2 linked regions of the Rattus norvegicus genome follow. The protein of the gene in region 1 purifies or fractionates together with the protein of each later gene. This does not show direct contact. Links are inferred from orthologs where the notes say so. Each region holds a gene or a part of one and is shown in the gene's direction. Other genes may lie near its edges.

Evidence for each region. The genes of interacting proteins can lie anywhere in the genome.
Region 2: the proteins of Ciao2a (region 1) and Ireb2 purify together in Homo sapiens (affinity purification with mass spectrometry; 3 studies listed by BioGRID and IntAct, with this or other methods). This does not show direct contact. The link is inferred for Rattus norvegicus from reciprocal best matches to the Homo sapiens genes CIAO2A and IREB2.

Annotation. Positions count from the first base shown.
Region 1 is NC_086026.1:75,564,227-75,568,419, forward strand, and holds the start of Ciao2a (cytosolic iron-sulfur assembly component 2A precursor), read left to right. Parts: upstream 1-1,393; 5' UTR 1,394-1,526; coding exon 1,527-1,650; intron 1,651-4,193. UniProt on the Homo sapiens protein: Component of the cytosolic iron-sulfur protein assembly (CIA) complex, a multiprotein complex that mediates the incorporation of iron-sulfur cluster into extramitochondrial Fe/S proteins.
Region 2 is NC_086026.1:64,192,088-64,195,587, forward strand, and holds part of Ireb2 (iron-responsive element-binding protein 2), read left to right. Parts: intron 1-457; coding exon 458-593; intron 594-2,213; coding exon 2,214-2,298; intron 2,299-2,778; coding exon 2,779-2,935; intron 2,936-3,268; coding exon 3,269-3,393; intron 3,394-3,500. UniProt on the Homo sapiens protein: RNA-binding protein that binds to iron-responsive elements (IRES), which are stem-loop structures found in the 5'-UTR of ferritin, and delta aminolevulinic acid synthase mRNAs, and in the 3'-UTR of transferrin receptor mRNA.

The DNA of each region.
Region 1 (4,193 bases):
TATATACAGAGCATTCACTGTGAGTTTGGCACCTTACTGTGCGTTTCAAATACAAATACAAAAGCTCCTGGCTCACAGTTTAATGAGTGCTTACAGTTTAATGAGGCAGTCTTGTAAATCAACAATTTAAACACACTCAGTGTTACAGTGTGCAACAATAAAAAACATTATCGATTCTTTTGGGAGAAACCAGGCTTTACACAAAGGCGAGATCTCAGTGTATTAAATTCGATCTCTAAGAATTTGGGGTTATATTTCCGATGACAATGAAGTGAAATGGCAGGGATATTGTTGGGATTGGATCAAAATTTCCTGGGACTTAATCATAGGTTGGTGAGTCGCAGTCAACTAGAGTTAAAAGATAACGTAGGTTATGTTATCACGAACTAATTCTGCAAGATGACCCTTTCTTTTCAAGGACACGAAAACTGCCATTAAAACCAACAGACCTGGTTTGCTTTTCTGGTTGAAACAAAGTCTCATTTAAACGGGCTTGAAATTCTGTATCCAAAGTTGGCCTCAAACTGGTGGCAATGTTCCTCCTTCGGCCTCCAAGTGCTGGAATTACAGGCACAAGCCACCAGGCCTAGCGAAGTTGGCTGTTTGCAACTGCAAACTCAACATGAGAGGTGGATTCCTTTACAGTCTGTAAACTGCTTGAAGGTCGGGAGAGTGTCTTAGTTTGTAACTTTTATTCCTGCATATACATTGTGAGGTGGAAACACAATCAACTCTGTAATGGGCACTCATCACAGCCAAGAACACAAGAAAGCTTAAGAAATGCCTTTTTAGGATGGTCATCTCCATTATCGTCACTATACATAGTGAACACAGAGAAAGTTCTCTCGCTGTAATTGGGGTGGTGGTTGGTAGATATACTCCCCATGGAGAGAAGTTGAGCTGGACTAAGTCTCTAGAAGACAAGAAAACCAAGTCTTCCTTGTCCGTGGCCATGCCTATCAACATTTGTCTCCCAAAATAGCCTCTTTAACCGCAAAGGAAACCCACTTCCGGCCTGATCAGAAAGTAAGAAAAAATTGGAAGTGGCTTCCTCTAAGAAAGAAAAGTCTCTGTTCTAGAAGACCTTCCAATAGTAGTAACCTTGATCTCCTTTTCCCTACCTCTTCAGGATTCATCTTTAGTTCTTCCTAGGAACTGTGTGGGGCACTTGGTGACGCCTAACAGTCCGTTACACGATCCTCTGGCTGAGACTACAAGCCCCAGATGCATTTCGACGGCCCTCGGCTACTTCGCCCCTAGACATCCCAGCATGCAATGCGCCTAACGAGCCTTAAGGATTTTTCTGTGCCATCTAAATCCAGCAAAGCATCTTGGGACATGTAGTCTTTACTGTTAATTTCCCTAGGTCCTTCGCGTTACTGTTTTGAGTCCCGCCTATTCTCTGCTCCCCTAAACCTTTACACATGTCTTGGTTTATTTGAAGTCCAGGAAGTTAACTTCTGAGATCGGCTGCGGAAAGACGGTGGCTCGGTTGGGACAGTCGCCAGGGATGGCGGAACGTCAGGATGGAGCGAGTGTCTGGGCTGCTCTCCTGGACGCTGAGCAGGGTCCTATGGCTCTCAGGCTTTTCTGAGCAGGGAGCTGCCTGGCAGCCCCGGATCATGGAAGAGAAAGCGCTAGAAGTTTATGGTAATTTACCCAGAGCACCATTTAAGGTTTTTTGGAGAGGGGGTGGAGGAGGGCCTCACCTTTGGGCTGGAGTGGACACTTGGGGATTTTGCCAGACCTAGAGGGAAGCGTGTTCTTCCGGGTCCTAAGTCACACAGCAATGTCGGGCTATTTCTAAACCAGGAGCGAAATTTAGCCTGGAATTCATAAACGCTTCCTTCCCCTGGACTACTTTAGTGACTATGTCAAGAGGTGTGGGCAGAATGAGCTTGCAGTGGTCAAGGAGCAAAGCATGCCTAAGATTTCACTAGTCGAGAGTCTTTCCTTCTTTAGCTACTGGACGCGGTTCCTCCCGCCATAACTGAGGCCACTCAGGTAGTGGCGGAGTTGGGGACTGACCCAAGGTCACAGATACTCTCTTCTGTGACAGATTCAATAGGAAGTAAAGAGGTAGGAATAGGCATCTCAGCGCGAGGCTTTAAATGTACAGTTTTCTTACACAGTTAAGTGTGTGCATATATTCTCCCAGATACTTAACACTTTGAGGGACTGTCTTCATTACACAGACGGGGAGATGGTGGTTTAACGACTACGCAGAGGTCACATTGTCAGTAAGGAGCAGAGAAAACCAAACTTGTGATTGTAAATATAATGCCTGTTCGTCCTCGTTCGTTCTCTCTCTCTCTCTCTCTCTCTCTCTCTCTCTCTCTCTCTCTCTCTCTCTCTCTCTCTCTCTCACCATTTATAGTATTATTTATCTGGGTTGGGGAGAAAATCCAGAATCTCATACAAATTAGGTATGCTCCACCGCTAGCCCTATTTTTTGACAGCGAAAAGACCTAGATGTAGCACCAAGAGAGCTGGTCATACAAATACAATTTAGGTAAGGATTTTAGGCCAGGAAGAATGATTCCAAAAATGGAATGGCTTGGGAAGCTAATCAGGTTTCCTTATCTCTTGGTAGGGAGGCAAGGCTGACTTAATGACTTAACCCCAGGCAGAAGATAATTACTAGTGTGCTATCTCCACAAAACATTCCTGTCCTACCATCACCTCTGTGTATAGCACCTGGAAACTTCCGGGCACCAGAGATACAACTCTGCAAGAGAGATGATTCTAGTCCTCAAATTTGGATTGAATGACACCTACATAAGCAAAAATACAAAATTCAGTCAGAGGTCATGAGCTTAAGTAGGAGATATGGACACTCAGAAGAAAGATAAATTGACTGGAAATATCTGTGAGGATGTTAGACAGTTACTCGAGTTAGGCCTTGAAGAATAATTTGGACCTGGATATGTCAGAGGTTGCATAAGCTGAAGAAAATGTGGAGGTGAGAAGACAGAATTAGCTGTCCAGAAGGAGGCAGCTGATAGTCAGGGACTGCAGGTGGAGGTGTGGTTGGCTGTTTCTTTAGATAGTAGACTGGAATCGAATACTGAAGTTTTAAATGGCTTTTACTTCATTTAGTTACTTTGTGTTGGCACACACCCATGCAAGTCACAGTGCAAGTACGGAGGTCAGAGGACACTTTGCTGGAGTTAGATTTCTCCTTCCAGCAAGTGGGGCCTAGGGATGGAAACCCAGGACGTTGGGCTTATTCGGTGGCAGGTCCCTTTACCCACTGAGCCGTCTTAGAACCAACACCACCCACTGAAACTTTTAAAAAATAAATGAAAGAGTTATCTTTTTAACTATTAAAAAAGTTTTGTTTTTTTTTTAAGTTTGTGTGTGTCCTTGGAGGCCAGAAGTGTTGGCTCTCCCTGCCTTCAAGTCAGTACAGAGCAGCAAACACTTTTAGTTGGGGGTGAGGGGAGATTAGAAGAGTAATGTGGGGACAAGCTTGATATCTTTTTAAAGAAATCAAACTTCTCAAATCACTAGAAAGCTGGAGGTGTTCAGTAAGGGATAAGGCTTAATTTCAGGATTTAGTGGTGTTCAAAGAACATAACACAGCTTTTACAAATTAAGTTTAGAAGGAGAAGCCTAGGATAGGAGAGGGGAAACCCTGCTTTCCCAAATCCCATAATAACCTGCTAAGTGAAGGGGAATTTTATCCTCTTTCCTGTCCGTATTCGCCGGTAAGGCCAGAAGATAATCTAGAGAAGGGAAGGTTGATGGGTTCATTTTTCTTGGTTGCTTTTGCAGTCACTGGACTAGGTATGTGTGACAAGACAGACCCCAGGGTCCTGAGAAGGCCAGCCCACTCACCTGAGGTCTGCCTCTCTCCCCTGCCCTCCGATTAGCACTCTCTGTTTCATCTGTTTATTCTGTTTCATTTTTTCCGTAGGCCAGAGGCATGATGAGCTGCTGCTGCCTTCTCGATTCCCCTTTCTTCTGCTCCGGTTTACCCGGTTCCCTTCACAGTTTGATCTTCCTTCTATCAACCTTCCATTGAACTAAAAACTATACTCAAAAGTCCCTGAGCTTTGTCAAGATTCTAACTTCTGTCTAAAGCTTCTGCCCCACCCTCCTGCCAAGGCCCTCAGGATGCATTCTCTGCTCTGTTGGCTTCCCCCTTTGCACCTCCTTTCTCTACCAAACTGTTTTCTTATAAGTGACGT
Region 2 (3,500 bases), about 11 Mb from region 1:
GTATGCATATTCTTTTTCCCCTGTTTGTGTGATGGTATGGTGTTAGCCTACCCATAATAATTTGCAGCATGATGTTTCTTTACTAAGAATTTTCATTTGTCTTCAGTGAACTGAATATGTAGAGTAAAATGCACAGAGTAATGATATTAAGGTTTTATAAGCTGGAGAGATGGCTCAACAGTTAAGGGCACTGGTTGCTCTTCCAGAGGTCCTAAATTCAACTCCCAGCAACCACATGGTGGCTCACAGCCATCTATAAATGTGATCTGATGCCCTCTTCTGGCCTGCAGGTGTACATACAGATAAAGCACTCATAGATATTAAAAAATCGTAAACTTTAAACTTTTTTTATGAATTTGAGCTTTTTACTATAAATTGTAGTATGATATTAAAGACATCCTTTTCTTGGTTTTTATTCTAATGTGAAGAAGGTAAGGACACATTGTTGATTTTACAGGTCTTTTGGCTAAAAAGGCTGTTGAAACTGGTCTACGAGTTAAACCTTATATAAGAACAAGTTTGTCTCCAGGCAGTGGGATGGTTACACATTACCTCAGTTCAAGTGGAGTGTTACCCTACCTTAGCAAGCTAGGGTAAGTGACATTTACTGTTATTCACACCTAGACTGGTATTCAACAGGTGATAAATATATTTGTTAGAAATCAAAGAGAGAAGTAAAAAGGAAAAATACCACTTAAAAGGGTGGATAGTCCCCTCAGAGTCAGTCCAGGACACACCCAAACACCAAATTCTCAGCACAAAGGAGATTTTATACCCAGAGGGGCAAGCAGATGGGGAGGCTACAAAGGCAGGTGGCGGTGGCAGCAGCAAGAAGCAAGCAGGGTTTTTTTGTTTTGTTTTGTTTTGTTGCAGGAGTGGATTTTTAAGGAGAAAAGGGAGATCTGTGCTAGGATGAGTTGGTAAATCTTGATTAGATATGTTAGCCAGATAATGAATTTTGATTGATGAACCTTGGTGTTTAGTCTCAGGAATTGAGTCAGTGGCAAGTAGGGGAATTGATCTTGGGAACCAGCTTTAAGAAGATAGTTTAATGGTTTTTAGCAAGGAAGAAGGAAAGATGAAAGACAAAACCTGTCAGCGCCCATGCTTGCCTGCCGTGCTCGGGACTGTGAGAGCCTTTCACTTGTCCCTTACCATCATCACACAGTCTGGTGTCTGTGGAGCCGGTGGTCGTTGGGAATATTTTATCACCAAGGCACTTGGAAGTCAAGCGCATGGTCCGTAACCTCAGGACGGGAAACCAAGTCACAGTGGGGACACTGTTAGAGTGGTGTGAGGGAGTACCCAGTTCTCATGAACCATGTTCAGTTCAGAAAAGAGTAAAAAAATAATGCAAGTTGGATAATTTAATTGAGCATCTTTAATCCCAGCACCTGGGAGACAGAGGCAGGGGGATCTCTGTGAGTATGTGGCCAGCCTGGTCTACAGAGGTAGTTCTAGGACATACAGGGCTACAGAGAAACCTTGTATTGGGGAGCAGTGAGGAGAATTGAACAAATTGTCTTGATTCAGGTTTTGCAGAGTTATTGGGTCTACAATATGCAGGTTAATTTTCTGTGAAGCTTAAGATAAACAACTTTTACATTTCTTTCTTAGTTAAGTGATGATAGTGTAATTTTGGAAAATAATATTTTTACATAAATTATCAGTCCTTATTAAAAGCCTCATAAATTTTAGATTTTTTTATTTTGCCTTTAGAACAGCAGCTAAAGTAATTTAGAGGCTTATGTTTGTAATCTTATTTTGGAATTACTGTCAGGGATTCTTCTTAGGTGTGTGCTTTGAGAAGTTGAGAGTTGAATGATGTACTCCCACTAGAGTGTCTCCTTACCCTTTTGGGACCTTCAATGAGCTGTTAGAGTAACGGCATCCTAATGTTTTAGAGCCTTTCAAGTGGAAACACGTGGATTTTTTAAAAGTGGCTTTATACAGTTCTAGTTATAATAGAGGAGCTTTCTAATATTGAGTGATAAATACTTTTGATCTAGTACAGATCTTGTAGATACGTAAGCTCTTGTAAGACTTAAAGTCAGTACAAATCATGCTACCAGTGAACTTTAATGTTTAAAACTGTGAAATTAATGTGCTGCTGGCAAAACAGTAATTTTACTGTGATAACAGAAATAAAGAGATAAGACTTGTCCTTTCTCTATAAATATACTATCCAGTCATGTTTCACTTTTCAAATGCAGGTTTGAAATAGTTGGCTATGGATGTTCAACGTGTGTAGGAAATACAGCACCTTTATCAGAAGCAATTTTGAATGCAGTAAAACAGGTAAAATGTGACTTAGCACATCTAGGTGTGTTTTTATTGTTTTTGTTTTTAATAAGGATACTTCAATATCTACTTAAGCATCAGGGTTAAGAAATAGAAGCTAATTTTAAAAAGTAGACATACTTATGAGTGGGATTGTGAGCTTCTTTGAAAGTTGCCCCAACTCGTTTTAACTGTATCTTGTTAGTGAATTACAGACAGTGTACATCAATGTGTATGTTGATATTTATACTTGAAACTCTTGGGAAGAGTAACTTGTGGATCCTAAAGTAATACAAAGAATTACTTCTACATTTTAAAAATAATTCCTTAGTAATATAAGGAACTACTAAAGTATAAGAATGGTAGTTCTGTACTTAAAAGTTAATGAAATGTTTTTTGTTTGTCTGGCTCTCAGAACTATATTTTTTGAGACAAATTTTATAATTGTGTGAGTATATATAAGTTCTTGAATCAAGTATATTTGTTTTCCCCCCTTAGGGTGATTTGGTTACCTGTGGAGTTTTATCTGGAAACAAAAATTTCGAAGGTCGTCTTTGTGATTGTGTCCGTGCTAATTATCTCGCCTCTCCACCCTTAGTGGTGGCTTACGCCATAGCAGGCACAGTGAATATAGATTTCCAGACAGAGCCATTAGGTGTGTTTTCCTATATATTATCTGTATGTTTATATGTATACTTGTGTGCACTTTTTCCCAGAAGTTGTTAAAACAGATTCTTGATGTGAAAGAAAACACGCAGTGCTTGTTACTCCCTTACACCGTCCATTTTTCTGCTATTAATGTGTCTGCTGATGTGAAGAAAGAAGATGCAGATGCAGTTGGCGTGCAGTACTTAAACCTGAAACACACCCTGTTCTAAATCAGTTACTTGATTTCCGTGACTATTCTTTGAAAAGATAAGAAAGCTTTGAGGTGTTGGTTTTCCATTGTTGTTTTAATATGTGTACTGAATATTGAAATTTTGATCAGGTACTGACTCTACAGGCAAGAACATTTACCTGCATGACATTTGGCCTAGTCGAGAAGAAGTTCATCAGATAGAAGAAGAACATGTTATTTTGTCCATGTTTAAAGCACTGAAAGAGAAAGTAGAGGTAAGAGTCTTGTGGGACTTTATTCATTTTTAGCTCGTTTCTTTATTTTGAAGTAAGGTCTCACTCATACTAAGTGGGACCTCACTCCTTACAGGCCACGCTAACCT